4 linked regions of the Sus scrofa genome follow. The protein of the gene in region 1 interacts with the protein of each later gene in a pairwise test. Links are inferred from orthologs where the notes say so. Each region holds a gene or a part of one and is shown on either strand. Other genes may lie near its edges. The genes, in order: CCNC, NDUFV2, TRIM39 and NMNAT1.

Evidence for each region.
Region 2: the proteins of CCNC (region 1) and NDUFV2 interact in binary tests that used the Homo sapiens proteins (3 or more experiments, as listed by UniProt). The link is inferred for Sus scrofa from reciprocal best matches to the Homo sapiens genes CCNC and NDUFV2.
Region 3: the proteins of CCNC (region 1) and TRIM39 interact in binary tests that used the Homo sapiens proteins (3 or more experiments, as listed by UniProt). The two-hybrid records come from large-scale screens. The link is inferred for Sus scrofa from reciprocal best matches to the Homo sapiens genes CCNC and TRIM39.
Region 4: the proteins of CCNC (region 1) and NMNAT1 interact in binary tests that used the Homo sapiens proteins (3 or more experiments, as listed by UniProt). The two-hybrid records come from large-scale screens. The link is inferred for Sus scrofa from reciprocal best matches to the Homo sapiens genes CCNC and NMNAT1.

Annotation. Positions count from the first base shown.
Region 1 is NC_010443.5:66,489,706-66,493,269, forward strand, and holds part of CCNC (cyclin-C), read right to left. Parts: intron 3,317-3,564; exon of another isoform or gene 3,291-3,316; coding exon 3,184-3,290; intron 2,490-3,183; coding exon 2,405-2,489; intron 2,186-2,404; coding exon 2,116-2,185; intron 1-2,115. UniProt on the Homo sapiens protein: Component of the Mediator complex, a coactivator involved in regulated gene transcription of nearly all RNA polymerase II-dependent genes.
Region 2 is NC_010448.4:98,849,722-98,853,835, forward strand, and holds the start of NDUFV2 (NADH dehydrogenase [ubiquinone] flavoprotein 2, mitochondrial), read right to left. Parts: upstream 2,841-4,114; 5' UTR 2,791-2,840; coding exon 2,737-2,790; intron 1-2,736.
Region 3 is NC_010449.5:23,048,894-23,053,043, reverse strand, and holds the start of TRIM39 (tripartite motif-containing protein 39), read right to left. Parts: upstream 2,843-4,150; coding exon 2,390-2,842; intron 1,105-2,389; coding exon 1,009-1,104; intron 1-1,008.
Region 4 is NC_010448.4:70,270,112-70,274,152, reverse strand, and holds the start of NMNAT1 (nicotinamide/nicotinic acid mononucleotide adenylyltransferase 1), read right to left. Parts: upstream 2,858-4,041; 5' UTR 2,094-2,857; intron 1,906-2,093; exon of another isoform or gene 1,574-1,905; intron 1,306-1,573; 5' UTR 1,178-1,305; intron 1-1,177.

The sequences.
Region 1 (3,564 bases):
TACCATCACTGTGAAAATAACTAAAACAACTTATTTTTGTTTAAACTTTTTAGGACCATTCCTGTGGCATATGGAAGTTCCCAGGCTAAGGGTTGAACTGGAGCTGCAGCTGCCAGCCTATGCCACAGCCACAGCCAGGCGGGATCCAAGCCGTATCTACAACCTACACCGCAGCTCATGGCAATGCTGGATCTTTAACCCACTGAGCAAGGCCAGGGATGGAACCCAACTCCTCATGGACACTAGTCAGGTTCATAACCCCCTGAGCCACAATGGAACTCTCTAAAAATAACTAAAATTTATGAGGTGTTTCATCTTACATACAGTCTCATTTCATTTTACTAACTTTATAGGATTACTAAACTCTTTATTTTAAAGCTGAAAAAAAATCAAGAATTGGTTCCTTATCCAACAAAAGAAACTAAACCATATATAGTTTATTCAAAAACCCACAGTGGTGGGGGGAGACGGCACCTGTGTATGCCTGTGTATATATTTATATTTACATTTAAACCTCAAACTGTAATAACTGAAACTGGAAATTAAATGCCTGAGACATCTTTTTAATGTCTTTCAATACAATTTTCACACAAGCAGACAAAACACAGATAGATTTGGTCATAAAGATAAAAAAAAATGCTATAACTGAATATGAAAGGATACATTTTTTCCTAGGGATAATTCTTTACCTTAAAATTCTTAAAGCAAAAGCTTTCACTTAGTAAATCATAAAATAGGGTTATACTCAGCAAGTCATGTAGCAAAAGATATTGTTACAAGGATATAACTAGGATAAAACTCCAAGTTAATTTATAAAAGTAAAAGTTTATAAAGATTTGATCTTGGTTACCCATATTGGCTGTCCTTCAGCCACATAAAATTATATGGTGATATTTGGGAAAACCACCCCATAATACAGACCTTTTACAATCACTTTCTTAAAAAACAACAGGGCTGGTTCTGCCTCCTTAAATTACCACTTACAATTACATTCAATATTAAAGGAAGCAATTACTATTCTGAAGACATCATCTAAAAATAGAAACATAATACATAGGATTCATATTACCTAAGATAACATGAATTATTATGAACACCAGTCAATACGTGCTATTAGTACCTGGATTTTAGCTGAGCTCTCTCAAAAAATACTGAAAGGGTAAATAAAGTGATCCAAGATTTGGTCTCAGCTGCAGGTTCCCATCTCTCTTCTCTTTCTCACCTAATTTCTCAACCTTCACAACCCAAATTATTCCTTGCTAGAAGGAGTATATCTGCAGCTACTCTGGTTCTCCTAGGCAACCAATCATTAGGAGGCAGGAAGGAAAAACAGCAGGACATAGGACACATATGGAGTTTGAGAAGGAAGAACATTCTCAAGTTATAGTGGATAAGCTGTGGCAATTATGAAATACTCCTTAGAACCAAACAATAAATATCTTAAAGGTAGTAAAGCAAAGCAGTTAAGAGTATGGGAGGAGTTCCCGTCGTGGCACAGTGGTTAAGGAATCTGACTAGGAACCATGAGGTTGCGGGTTCAATCCCTGGCCTTGCTCAGTGATTTAAGCACTGAGCTGTGGTGTAGGTTGCAGACGTGGTTCGGATCCCTTGTTGCTATGGCTCTGGCATAGGCTGGAGGCTATGGAATTAGACCCCTAGCCTGGGAATCTCCATATACTGTGGGAGTGGCCCTAGAAAAGGCAAAAACAAACAAACAAAAAAAAAAACAAAAAAACAAAAAAAAGGAGAATAGGATTAGAAGCTAGACTCCTAGGGTTAAAATACCCTGTCACTTATCAGCTCCTTAATCTTTTTGTGTCTCAGTTTCTTCACTTATAAAATGATATTACAAATATATACCCCATAGTTTGTTATGAGGATTAAAATATTTGTAAGAGGACTTAGAATAGCACTTGGCACATAGTAAAGTGTTACATAAGTGCTTTTTAACTGAATATATAAAATAAAGATATGCATATACTTCTTTGATTTTGTACAAATTTCAATATTTTATGTAAATCATCATCTTATTATTTTTACACAGGTAATGTGAAAACTGGGTTTAACCAATACCGTTGACTGTACTTTGATGAAGAACAGAAAATTAGTTCATACCTCTACTTTGGATGCCAAAAACACACATGTAGGAGCCATTAATACAGGATCTATACTTTTCAGAGAATACCTAAAAATACAATTAATTAAACAAAGTTAAGCAATATTCATAGACCAAACACAAATGAAAATAGAATTCATACAGAAAACATCTATATGGGAAAAAAATCAGGCCAACTCTATAGCAAACACATGATTTACTTACATAAGTTTCATCCTCATTACATAAGAGTTTCAAATACATGATATTTTAAATACAAATAACAGTCCCAAAATAACACAGCCCTACCTGGCATAGAATCTCTTGAAATAGACCGTAGCAGTGGCAATAACTTGTTGTCTTAATTTAAGATGTTCACCTAATGCTTGGATAACTAAAAGAAAAATAATAATAATAAAATCTGATATCAATATAATATTAACACTGAACAATAACTTCCATGCAGTTAAATCATGACTATATTCATTTTTAACAAAGAGAAAAATTTACACATGCTATAATGCTCTACGTGGATCACAGTGGTCTAGTACTAGGATTACAAATTTGTTAAGGCTAAATGATAGGTATTTCCCCTCTTATCAGACACCCATCAGTTTTACAAAGTTCATAAAAAATCCAAAATGAATCCTCAAAACAACAGAGAGGTAGGTTTGCATAAGAGTGAACTGAGGCTTAGAAAGATCCTGGACAAAGCCACCACATGGCACAGCAAAGACCTTCTAATTCCAAATACCCTTCTCTCCAAAGCAAACTTGTAAGATAGGAATGACCAATACAGGATGTCAATCCAAAGAATTATTTATCCTCAAAGTACTTCATTTTAGCCAATCTTAAACTGGGTTTAATGATGCATTATAACTGTTTAGGAAGATTAACACTTTTAGATTGTCTTGAGTATCTCTGACATATAAGTCACTTTAAAAAAATACATTTAAGTTATAAAGAGAATACACATGTTAAAAAAAAAATAAAGGGACTAAAACAGTCACAAATTACTACAGAAAAACACCTTAGTTCAGAGTTAACCAACTATACTATTTAAACCAATTTAAAAGAAAAAAGTTTACCATTTGTAAAAAATATCTGTAATTTCCAATACTCTTCTTCTGAGAGAAACTTTAAGTCCTTTTGGCGTTCCTTCAACAGATCTTGTTTATCCAAAATCCATTGCAAACTAAAAGAAGCAAAGATTCAGACAACCTATAGAAAATCAACTAACAAAGTCACAGAAAACATTCTAAGAATGAACAAGTTTTAGTCTTAGTACAAAATACAAAAAGTAACCTTGAAAGATGTTTTTCACATTTCTTGAAACTCTGACGTTAGAATTATCTCACTAATAAGTGTAAATTAAATGTGCCCTGAAAAAAAAATCTGCTCTAATCTTCTCTTCCTTCTCAGTCTGTCTTGTCTCTCTTCCCACTCCCACATGTCACTTTTATAGTGTA
Region 2 (4,114 bases), on another chromosome or scaffold:
ATGCCACCACAACCCTCTTGTTCCTCCAAAGCTAATCAGTGGCTTGGTAGCGAGGCAATGATGAGCCATAAAATAGTGTCAACATTACAGAAAGCCATGGGCAATTACTCAAGGAAAGATGGAAATAAACCTATTCTGAGTACCTATTTTCCATATTTCATAATTTTTAGGCAATTCTTGACAATCACTCAACGAGGTACTACTGTACTTACAGAAAAGAAAAATAAAGCTCAAGGAGCTTAAGAAATATGGCTCAAGGTCAAATAACTAGTGACTTCCAGGCACAGTACTAAATTCTAGGTATTTGTTAAGCAATGACAAGATGAAAAGCCTGTGGCTAAAATAACTGGCAACTAGCTAATAAAGCAGAAATTACAAGAAAATACGCAATTTCTTTGAAAATGATTTCCTTAAAGCCTTCTTTATTTGGGGGGGGCTCCTCCCAGGTCAGGGAACAAACCCATGCCACAACAGCAACCCAAGCTGTGACAGTGACATTGCTGGATCCTTAACCTGCTGTGCAACAAGAGAACTCCTAAAAGTTTCCCTTTCAGGAAAGGAACTTTATTAGTGAGACCTCTTTACTCACATTTTTCCTGCTTTTTGCTAGGTCATTCTGATATTCCACTATTTGTAATGGGTTAAAAGGGCCTGGTTATATAAATTATAGAACATCCTCACAATGGCATGCTATGCAGCATTAAAAATGACAGTATAGGGAGTTCCCACTGTGATACAGTGGATTAACAATCTGACTTGGGTCACTGTGGAGGCGTGGGTTTGCTCCCCAGCTGAGTGCAGTAGGTTAAAGGATCCAGTGTTGCTCTGCAGCTGTGACAAAGGCTGAAGCTGCAGCTTCGATTCAATCCCTGGTCTGGGAACTTCCATATTCCACAGGAGCAGCCATTAAAATAAAAATTTTTTTTAAAAATTTAAAAAAACTTAAAAAAATGGGAGTTCCCATCCTGGCTCAGCAGAAACAAATCTGACTGGCATCCATGAGGATGCAGGTTCAATCCCTGGTCTCGCTCAGTGGGTTAAGGATCCATCGATGCCATGAGCAGATGTGGCTTGTATCTGGCATTGCTGTGGCTGTGTCGTAAGCTGGCGGCTGCAGCTCCAATTCAACCCCTAGCCTGGGAACCTCCACATGCCACAGGTGCAGCCCTTAAAAATAAAAAAATTTTTTTAAATAAAAAGTTTATTCATAAGCAAAGCTAATCAAAATGTATAATGGGAGAAAACAGGCTACAAAACTGTATGAACAATACCATCTGATTTTTACAAAAAAATTTTTCTGTAAGGTCCTTTATGTGCAGATATCAAAATGTTAACATTTTGTTAATGTTCAATTTGATAAAACTATGGGCGATTTTTATTTTTTGAACTTATTATATTTGCTGTTCCTAATATTGTTTTTCTTATCTTGTCCTTTCCACCTAGAACACCCTCCCTATCCATTTGGCCCCATCCCCAATCTATTCCTATTACTTACAGGAAAAATCTTACACCACCTTCAAACTAAACTGGATGATCTTATTCATATCTCTAACACTGTACGGCTGACTCTTGAACAATACTAAGGGTTAGAAGTGTGGACCCTCGAAATAGCTGAAAATCCAAATATAATAACTTAAGAGTCAGACCTCCAAATATGAGGTTTCTCCATACCCAGGATCCTGCAGTACTGTACTTACTGCTACGGGGTGGGGGGACCTCGCTTATAAGTGGACCACTGAGTACAAATCTGTTCAAGGGTCACCTAACTATACTTTTACACTATTCAATACCTACTACCTTAAGTTCCTAGTCCATAAAACTATCAACTCTACAAGAACAGGGATTGTCTAAATCCATTTCACTGTAATATGGGGAAGTAACAGTACCAACCTCACGAATTAGGTTTTGAAGGTAAATAACACAGTGCTTGGTGCACAGAAAGCAGTCACACCTACCATTATTCTCCACCTTGACACCTGGAACCCAACAGGAACAGTAGAATCTCAAACTTTACTGAAAGACTAAACTCTACAAATTGAAATATTCCCATTTGACAACTGAGGAAACCAAGTGAGAACAGTCCAGTCACAAAACTAGAAAAGGCGGTGAAGCCTCCATCCAAACTCAGGTCTAACTGCAAGGCCCTGCGCTCATCCTATACTGCTGTGCACTAACCCCTCCGTTCGGCTGAAAACTGACTCAACCTTTCTATTTTACTGGTGCAGGTAAAGAAAGCTTTCTTTCCCGTAAGCGCCCCGTCATCATCATCGTCATTTCTGGAATGTTCATCTTTAAGTCAGAGCAAGCGAGTGTTTCAGCCTGAGCTCCAAGGTCGCTGTCTAAAGCGTGACGTTCTGAGACCTCAGGAGCCGGCAGAGGCTTCGCCGCCCGGGGTGCGAGGTGCAGGGAGCCCTGGGTTCCAACACGCAGCACAGTCGCAGTCAAGGGTACGCCGGTGCCGCCCTCCCGCGGCCCAAGGAGACACCCGCCGAGTTCCAGACGCCCCTGGGACGCCCCGCGCACTGACTCGGGCCTCCCGTCCTGAGGAGGCCTCCCCACCGCCCCTCCCTAGGTCCTCGGACGCGCGGCCTCCTCAAGAGCGGGCGAAGGCCGCGGCGTCCTTGCCGTCGCCCGCAGGCCGTCTCGTGCCCGGCGTGCCCTGTGCCGGCCGCTAGAGGAGGCCGGGAGAGAGGGAGAGGGCAGCGGCAGCGCCGGCGCACATTCGAGCCTCCTTACCCACTGGGCGGTGAAGCCCGTAGCCCGTGCCCGGAGCGCTGCGGTGAGAAACATGGCGGGCCAAACTGCGGGCCTTTCCGACCGCGCCAGGAGGAATCGCGAGCGCCGGGACGCACGGCGTGCGCGCCCCCGAGCCCAGCCTGCGCGCCCTGGGCGGCAGGGGCGCGCGGGTACGGCTGAGGCCAATGGCCGCTGCAAGAACCCGCCGGCGCCCTAGGAGGTCAGGTCCCGGGGGGTGTTGCCTTGTATCCCGCCCTGAAGGGCGTTGTCCCCTAGGGGCCCCGCGCACCGGAGTTTATGAGGTGGGCTACCCTACTGGAGCCCTGTCAGGATTTAACCTTTTTTTTTTTTTTTTTTGTCTTTTTGCCATTTCTTGGGCCGCTCTTGCGGCATATGGAGGTTCCCGGGCTAGGGGTCGAATCGGAGCTGTAGCTGCCAGCCTACGCCAGAGCCACAGCAACGCGGGATCCGAGCCGCGTCTGTGACCTACACCACAGCTCACGGCAACACCGGAACCTTGACCCACTGAGCAAGGGCAGGGATGGAACCCGCAACCTCATGGTTCCTAGTCGGATTCGTTAACCACTGCGCCACGACGGGAACTCCTAACCTTATTTTTGATTGCAGTTCCTTAAAAAACAAAAAAATTTCGTTGCAACCCCCTATAAATCGTATTTTACAAATTGAAGAATTTGCAGAATTGAAGATACAGAGGGCTGGCTGCCACGCAGAGGGCTAGGCATGGACACCAAATGCCCTGGTTCCCACTCTTTTGCTTTAGGGATGCATGCTTACATATTTAGGGGCAAAATAATAAGATATCTGGAATTTGCTTCGGAATAATGCAGAGTGGGAGGTAGAAAGGAAACAAGATTGGCCCTGAGTGATGACTTGAAGCCGCGTGGTAGTTCTCATTGCTATTCTCGGTACTTTGAACATGTTAGAAATTTTTCCATAATAAAACTTTCCAAAAAAAAAAAAAAAAAGCCACTTCCTTTTTGGTGTTTGTTTGGTCATCTTTGGAAATTCCAGCAAGTGCTTATTCACTAATAGCTATAATATGTAGAGTGCTGTTTCCTGCTGTGGAGGGTGTACCAGGCGCTTACTGCCTCTTGATTTCTCCCTTCAGGGCCTTTCCTTTTATGTCCTGTACCCACTCCCTTCTTTTTGCCTCTTTTCTTTGCCATAATATACTTCTGAATGATTTCTGGAACTTTCACATTAGTGCAGGTTTGTTTTTTGTTTTTTTTGTTTGTTTGTTTTTTAATCCCTCATTATTTAAAAAATTCTAAAATATCCCATAGCAAGTCCTATGAATCATATTTTACAAGTTAGGGAATTCGAGTCATGTAGGGCTACCAGCCAGCTAGAAATAGAC
Region 3 (4,150 bases), on another chromosome or scaffold:
TTTGAGCCAAGTCTAGCCTGAATTCTTAGAACTTCAATCCGGGCAGAACTCTAAGACCTAACACAATCCTGAAAGTTTGGAATGTCTTGGATACCTAATGAATTAATGCTCAGGGCTCAATAAATACTAGTTATTATTACTGCTACTATTAATACATGTCTCACTGTCCAATAGAAGAAATAGGACAGATACCAAAATACCATGCTACAAATATGTTAATGCTATGGAAGAGATGCAAAACTGTATGCAAATTAAAAGAGCCAATTTCTAAAGGTTCCAGAAAGGCTACATAAGCAGTGGTTTTCACCAATAGGATCCTACAGTAGAGGATGGGGAAAGGAAGACTATCCTAGAAACTAACCTCATCTAGCATTTTTGAGTTTACTTGAGTTAAGAGAATGTGGTCTAGAGGTTACTGGGCAGCTCCTCCATCCTTCCTCCCGAGTGCATCTTCCACATTCTTCTTGCCTCAATCCCTCTAAGAAACTCCTATCCCTGCCCACTCAGCAGAGAGCCTTCTTCCCTGCCTTACAAAGAAAAGGAGACCAACAGGCATGAACTCCCTCAACTCCACAGATATAAGATATTCTGTCCTTCACCTCTTCCATCTTTCTCAATACTTAATCCATGACAATTAATCTAAGTACAATGTTTAATGACAATCAAGCTTAATAAAAATACCATCATTTCTGAGAGAACAGCATTTTTCTTTTTCTTTCTTTTTATGGCCGCGTATAGAAGTTCCTGGGCCAGGGACTGAATCTCAGCCACAGCTGCAACCTAACACCACAGCTGTGGCAACGATGAATCCTTAATTCACTGCACTGGGCCGGGGATTGAACCCTTGCTGCCTCAGAGACAACGAGGGATCCTTAACCCACCGTGCCACAGCGGGAGCTCCGAGAATAGCATTTTTCTAAGGAACCAGAACTGGGGGGGTTAAATAATGTGTGGTTAATGTTTGGTTAACTGCCTGTAGAGCAGCCCAAATGGATCTCCTGCCTTTACCTTGAGTTCGCCAGGCTTCTTCTCCTCAGAGGACTTGCAGCGGGTGATCTCCTGTAGCTTCTGCTCCAGGGGCTCCAGGCACTTCTGCAGTTTTTCCTGAGGGGTGCAAAGTGGGAGAATGGCATTTGGGATTATCTGGTACATCCTATGTTCAGAAACTAACCCATTTGTTTTAAATCATTTGTTTTGCTTCCTATCCATCTCTTACCACCTCTTGATGCAACTGCCTTGTCTGTCATTTGGGGTGTCAATTTCCTACAGGTCCCTCTTCCTGCCACCAACCTGTCTCCATATCACTTTCTTTGTTCACCAAACTTTCCTTTCACTGAATCTCACAGTGTCCAGCTGTCACCAACTCTCTGTCCTTCTCCTGCCCTGTTCATTTTCTTACTCATGGAACTGCCTATTACTGTCAAAGTGACCTCCTGTCCCCTGATATCTTTCTTTAAATTGTTGTCCTATCCAACTCTAACCACTTGCAAATATAATACAATCTTGATTACTTATTTTGGAAACTACCATAAAATCTTATTTCTAAGATTTTACTAATATAATTGGTCAAAGTTCTTGATAAAGTGCTAAGACATTAAAATCTCGAGTTCCTATTACTCAAACATGTATCCTGGGTCCCAGTGGTAAGTTAATCCGTATACCATGTTATCTATCATCCAGGCAAGATGCAAACAGACTGGTTCAGCTTGGCCTGGTGGAGGTCATTCTAAAGTGATGTTATCTATGCCCAATACTAGGTTAAACAAGGGGCATGTGAGCAGGAGGAAAGAATGAAGAAACCAGACTACCTTTCAGTTCTTCCTAAATTTGATCTTCTCCATGCGGTTTCATTCACTTGTGAAAAACATAATACATTCCAGGACCACACATACGCAGATGTGTTATAAAAGTCAGAGAGAAATTTTGGGATATTTCTCATTGCTTTTTTTTTGCTTTTTAGGGCCGTACCTGCAGCATATGGAGGTTCCCAGGCTAGGGGTCCAACGGAAGCTACAGCTGCTGACCTATGACACAGGTGCAGCCATGCCAGATCTGAGCCGTGTCTGCGACCTACACCATAGCTCATGGCAACACTGGATCCTTAACCCTCTGAGCAAGGCCAGGGATCAAACCTGCAACCTCATGGTTCCTAGTCAGATTTCTTTCCACTGTGCCATGATGGGAACTCCTCTCACTGCTCTTCTTCATGCCTGAGGATAACTGATCAGATGTGCTGTGTGCCTAGTGTATGTAGCTCTGAGGGGAATACAGAGTGAGGACCAGATACCATCTTGCCCTCAGGAACTTATGATCTTCTACCCAGGGAATCTCTCACCCTCTGCACTCCTCTCCCTTGCCCTGCATTAGCATCATGTGTCTGGTTCCTTACCTTGTACTCCTGGGTGGCATCATCCAGTGGCACAACGGTATGGGCCCGGTGAGTGTGGGAAATTGCACATATCAAACAGACAGCCTCCTGGTCCTCATAGCAGAAGAGGCTGAGGGCCTCGTGGTGCTGGGGGCAGAGGCTCTCATCTCGGATCTTCCGCTTGACAGCTTGGAGCTGCTTGGCAATTTCCACCATACTGCCCAGCTGTCGATTAGGCCGGAGGCTGCGGTAGCGGGATGTCTTTCGACAGACAGGGCAAGGGAAGTCCCTCTCTAGGTCCTCCCACCAGCGGGTGATGCAAGCTTTGCAGAAGTTGTGCCCACACTCAATGATGACAGGCTCCTTCAGATACTCCAGGCACACAGAACAACTTGCCTCCACCTGTAAGTTCTCCAGCGCTGCAGCTGTGGAGGCTGCAGAGGCCCCGGCCTCTAACAGACTTGTCTCTGCCATTATTTAACTTGAAGTTAGGAAGGGGGAAGAGGAAAGAAAAATGTTAATTGGAGGTTTAATTTTTTGGCATCCCTGACCTGACATGTACGTCCATGTTAAACGCTAACTGCAGATTTAGTCCCTTCGTGGTATTTTACATCTTCTCTCCCACTAGTCAAGCTCTTTTGTTTCTCCATTTCCAAAACTTGTGACTCCCAGACATTAACTTTTTTTTTCTCTGCAGCAAACTGACATATAACCCTCAATCTCTTGTCTATTATCACTTCCTCTTGTTAGAAACAGAGGCCCCTTTCAACTTTAGCCCAAAGTACTTCTCCTGATTCTGTTTCATTCCATTTGTGTCTTAGAACCAATAGTTCCAGACCAATGAATTCCTGGTTGGACATACTTATCTTTTTTGGCTGTGCCCATGGCAGGTGGAAGTTCCCAGGCCAGGGACTGAACCAAAGCCACAGCAGTGAAAATGTCAGATCCTTAACTGGCTGAGCCACCAAAGAACTCCAACACATTTTTCTTTTTGCTTTTTAGGGCCAAAAAAAGAACTTCCACAGCATATGGAAGTTCTCAGGCTACTGGTCAATTTGGAGCTACAGCTGCCGGCCAATTATACCACAGCCACAGCAACTCTGAAGCAGAGCTGCATCTGCAACCTACACCATGGCTCATGGCAATCCAAGCAAGGCCAGGGATTGAACCTGCATCTTCATGGATACTAGTAGGATTTGTGTCCGCTGCGCCACAATGGGAACTCCCCGACATATTTTTTCTAATGGATGAGAAAGGAGTTTCAGAAAGTGGAATGTGCCATAAAAGTCAAGCATTAAGGTTTCTTTCTTTCTTTTCTTTTTTGGCTGCACCCGTGGCATATGGAAGTTCCCTGGGGCCAGGGATCGAATCCCAGCTGAAGCTGTGACCTATGCCACAGCTGTAGCAATGCCAGATCCTTAACCCACTACAGCACAGCAGGAACTCCTAATTAAGGTTCCTTAAGTATGCATTAAAGCGTAATGTTACAGAAGAGTTTTACTACAATAGCCCATTGGAACCTAAGCTTGATTCTCTGGCATTGTTCTCTCACTCTTTCAAACGGTAATAAATGGAGTGAGTTAGGCAAGGGTAACAACCTCTTTTTTTCAGAAGTCTGGAATTATTCTTCCTTTTAGCAGGCTAGCCTAGAGGAAGTGTGCTATCTTTTCGGAATGAAATGATTCATACAACAACTCATTTCTATTTGTGTGCATTTGGACTTTTGGAACTGCTAGAAAGTGATAAATTCATGGCAACTGTACTAGAAAGTCTATTTCTATT
Region 4 (4,041 bases), on another chromosome or scaffold:
TGAGGTTACTTTCCCCAACGCTCTCTCTGTGTCTACCTACCTAACATTCATTCCTCTTTTCCCAATTTCTTCTCTTCCCTCCCCATCCTCTTTTTAGGCTTAGATTCTATCTTTGTTTGAGAACTTGAACCAAAACCAATTTCTCTTGCCTATGCACTAGGAATGCTTTTTCACTATCCATTAGCTTTAAACAAGAACCCAAAGGTATGTAAGAATACTCTCGGAATCTGAACTGCGGAATCAGATTAAGTTACCAAGAATGAAGAGCAGGTAAGCACGATGCTTGTACAGTGAGGCCTTTCCTCCACAGCTTCTAAGATTGCTCGCACCCTCTAAAACCAACACAAATGCCTAAGTAGAACTCTGTATTATCACCATAAAAATTAGGGGAAGAACCCAGTGAGAAAATGTTTATTCAGCAAGTACTTCAAATGGTGAAAGAAGGATATTTTCCAGCTTTGTTGTATGTGGCACTGACCCTATTTGTCATTGAGATTTTGATATTCTACAAAAACATTTCCACACATAGTCACATTATCACTGCATATTTATATACTCCACTGTATATACATTATATACTTTGTATGTAAATCCATTGTGCATATATGTATATATATATATATACACATATGCACACACTGGAATGCTACTTAGCTATAAAAAAGAACAAAATAATGTCATCTGCAGCAACATGGATGGAACTAGAGATTATCATACGAAGTGAAATCAGAAAGAAAAGACACATACCATATACCACTTACACGTGGAATCTAACATACGACACAAATGAACCTATCTACGAATTAGAAACAGACTTAGAGAACAGACTTGCGGTTGCCAACAGGGAGGGGAATGGGAGAGGAACGGACTGGGAGTCTGGGGTTAGCAGATGCAAACTATTATTACACAGAACGGATAAACAGCAAAGTCCTACTGCATAGCACAGGGAACTATACTCAATATCTGAAACAAACCAGAATGGAAAAGAATATAAAAAACAATGCATACATACATTATGTACATATAAAACGGAATGACCTTGCTGTCCAGCAGAAATTAACACATTGTAAATCAACTATACTTCGATAAAAATTATCTAAACTTAAGAGGCTTGCTTGATACACAATATATTTACCACTTGTTAACAATAACAAAAAAATACGTAACAGCCACTTACTTTTACAAAGGAAATTCTATGAATCTGAATAGTTTTGCACAGTAGGCCATTGGAACCATTCCAACTTGTGTGTCAACTTCTCTTCTGTGTTGGACTTAGAACTGCGATTTCACAACCAAATTGTAACTCTGAAAAACAATTTATGGTGATAAATAAGAATTTCTATGATTGGACAGAAATGACAAATAATTCATTCTGGTGGAGTTCTGTGGTGATCTAGGAAGTGTGTCCTGGGTGGCTGAGTTAAAATTAACTTTATTTTTATTTCTGGCCAGGCTCCTGGGCCTGTGGAAGTTCCTGGGCCAGGAATCAACCCCTGCCACAGCAGTGACTATGCCAGATCTTTAACCCACTGAGCCACCAGGGAATTCCTAGAATTAACTTTAAAGACAACACCTGTTTAACAATTTCGCTGTAAACCCTGAGGTTGTCTTGTGGACTAATGACTTCAAGGAGCTGGGCTGGGAACATGTGAAAACAATTTCCACCTAACTTCTGAGTAACTTTTAGAATGTTGCCCAACGGCTCGCAGTCTCCTTTCCAAGACGAATTGGTGTCAAACTGCTTCGTAATCCAGTCTTTCACAGACCTGGAAAAAAGGATTTGCGGGAAAAAGGGGAAGTGCCTCGCCCCCCTCACTTCTGCCCAAGAAGGAGTTTTTCCCCCAGGGTGAATTCACCTGTTCCAAAGGCCAGAGGCAACTTTACCGAGATTTTTGGTTCTACAGAGAAAATTCTAAAGGAAGGGACAAGACTCCCAGCCTCAAACTTGATTGAGACCTTGCTTCGGGGACGGCTGCATTTGACCCTCAAAAACCCCACCATCTTGGACTCCCTTGCACTTGCGATTTTAAAAAGGAGTCCTTGGCTGACTCCCCCAGAGCCCGGTTTGTCAGGGTCTCCGGGTAGGGGCTTACCACGCTACTGGCCCGAGTCCTCCGGGAGACAGTCCGCAACCCGGATACCAGTGACGGTAACACTCGTAGCCGCGCCCTCATTGGCTCCAGGCGGTCGGAAGTGCGTGCGTTTGGCGGAAGTGCTTCACCTGCACGCGTCCGCGGGGCCCGGACCCTCAGGTAGGCGGGGCCCCTGGCTGTGAACTCTCGGACCAGGCGTGGTGGGCGGAGGCGGAGAGGGGACCCCGAGGGGGTGGTTCGGGTTCTGGTCTGGGAAGACCGAAGAGCTTTGGGGGCGCCGGGATCCCGGCGACGCCTGGGAGCAACCAGGCCTAGTCGACCCGGCCGCCGCCAGTCCCAAGTGCGGGAGCTTCAGGTTCCCTGGTGGGAGATGGAATTTGGGGCGGTGGCCGGAGCTGCTGCCTGACCCCGTCCGGAAGGTCGAGGTTCAGAAGCCGCTCACTTCCAGCCAGGAAAACGTGTGCGCTCCACCTTTATCTTTTTCGTGCTTCTGGGTTTGACAGCTTCCCTCAAGGCAGTTTAGGGTGCGGCGTTTTCCTCAGTAACGCACTCGGTCTCACCAGGAAAAGCCTCAAAGACTGCCCGCACAGTCAGAAGGAAAGCGGATTTCACCCTCTCCTCCACACCTGCCCCCTGCTCCTACGATGTCTCCCTAGGAGCCGGAAAGAGAGGGTGCAGTCGCAGGCCGCCCAAGTGGAAGTTTTCCGAACTGCTTTAGGCCACGTTTATATATAGTGAATAAAACTGCTTGTCAATTGTTCCCTTTTCCAGCCAGCTCCACCCTCAGGTGGTTTGAACTTTGAACTTCTTGCCCTGATGAACAGTTTCGCGTTCCTCAAGTTTATAACACTTGAAACTACAAGAACTGGCGGTTTTATGCAGTTTGAGACCAGTCAGCACTAAGCAGAGTTCGGAGTGCTAAGAGAAAGGTGAGCGTGAATGAGTACCTTCCACTCCAGAGTACAGTTTGGGGGAGTAATTTGGCTGTTTGCGTAAAAGGTGCACCACCTTTGTTGAATACTAGGTGGTGCCCGCGAGTTAATCTTTATAGGACGAATCTCAACTAATGTAGCACTAGGTTAAGATTCTTAAAAGGGTTTTGTGGTTTTTTTTTTTTTTTTTTTTTTTTTTAAGGAGTTCCCTAGTCGCTCAGTGAGTTAAGGATCTGGCATTATCACTGCTGTGGCTCAGGTCACTGCTGTGGCAGCGGGTTCCATCCCTGGCCCCTGGAACTTCCTTCTGGTGTGGGTGCGACCAAAAAACCCCCAATACAAAACCAAAGTGTCTCTTTCTTCCCTGAAGTTCGTTTAGACAAGGTTAATCTTAAAATATGTTGTACCTTTATACATATCAAATACCTAGTCTGAACTAAATGCTGATTAGGCTAAGAAAGGAATGAGACTTATTTTCTGCTCTCATTTTACAGTCTGGAGAGGAAAACAGACAAACAATAAGCTATAATGAATCACATATAATTCAAGGCAGACATAGTGCTAAATAGAGAATAAGATGTAGGATGCAGGAGTTCCCACTGTGGCTCAGTGGTTAACGAATCTGACTAGGAACCATTAGGTTTCAGGTTCAATCCCTGGCCTTGCTCGGTGGGCTGGGGATCCAGCATTGCCGTGGGCTGTGGTGTAGGTCACAGGTGCGGTTCAGATCCCACATTGCTGCTCCCGTGGTGTAGGCCAGCAGCTACTGCTCCCGTTAGACCCCTAGCCTGGGAACCTCCATATGCCACAGGTGCAGCCCTGGAAAAAACAAAAAGACAAAAAAAAAAAAAAAAAAGATGTAGGATGCAGTGGAAGAAGCAAGCAATATGCAGCCTTGCTCAGTAGGTTAAGGATCTGGCATTGCCATGAGCTGTGGTGTAGGCTGCAGATGCAGCTTGGATCTGGCATTGCTGAGACTGTGGTATAGGCTGGCAGCTACAGCTCTGATTCAACCC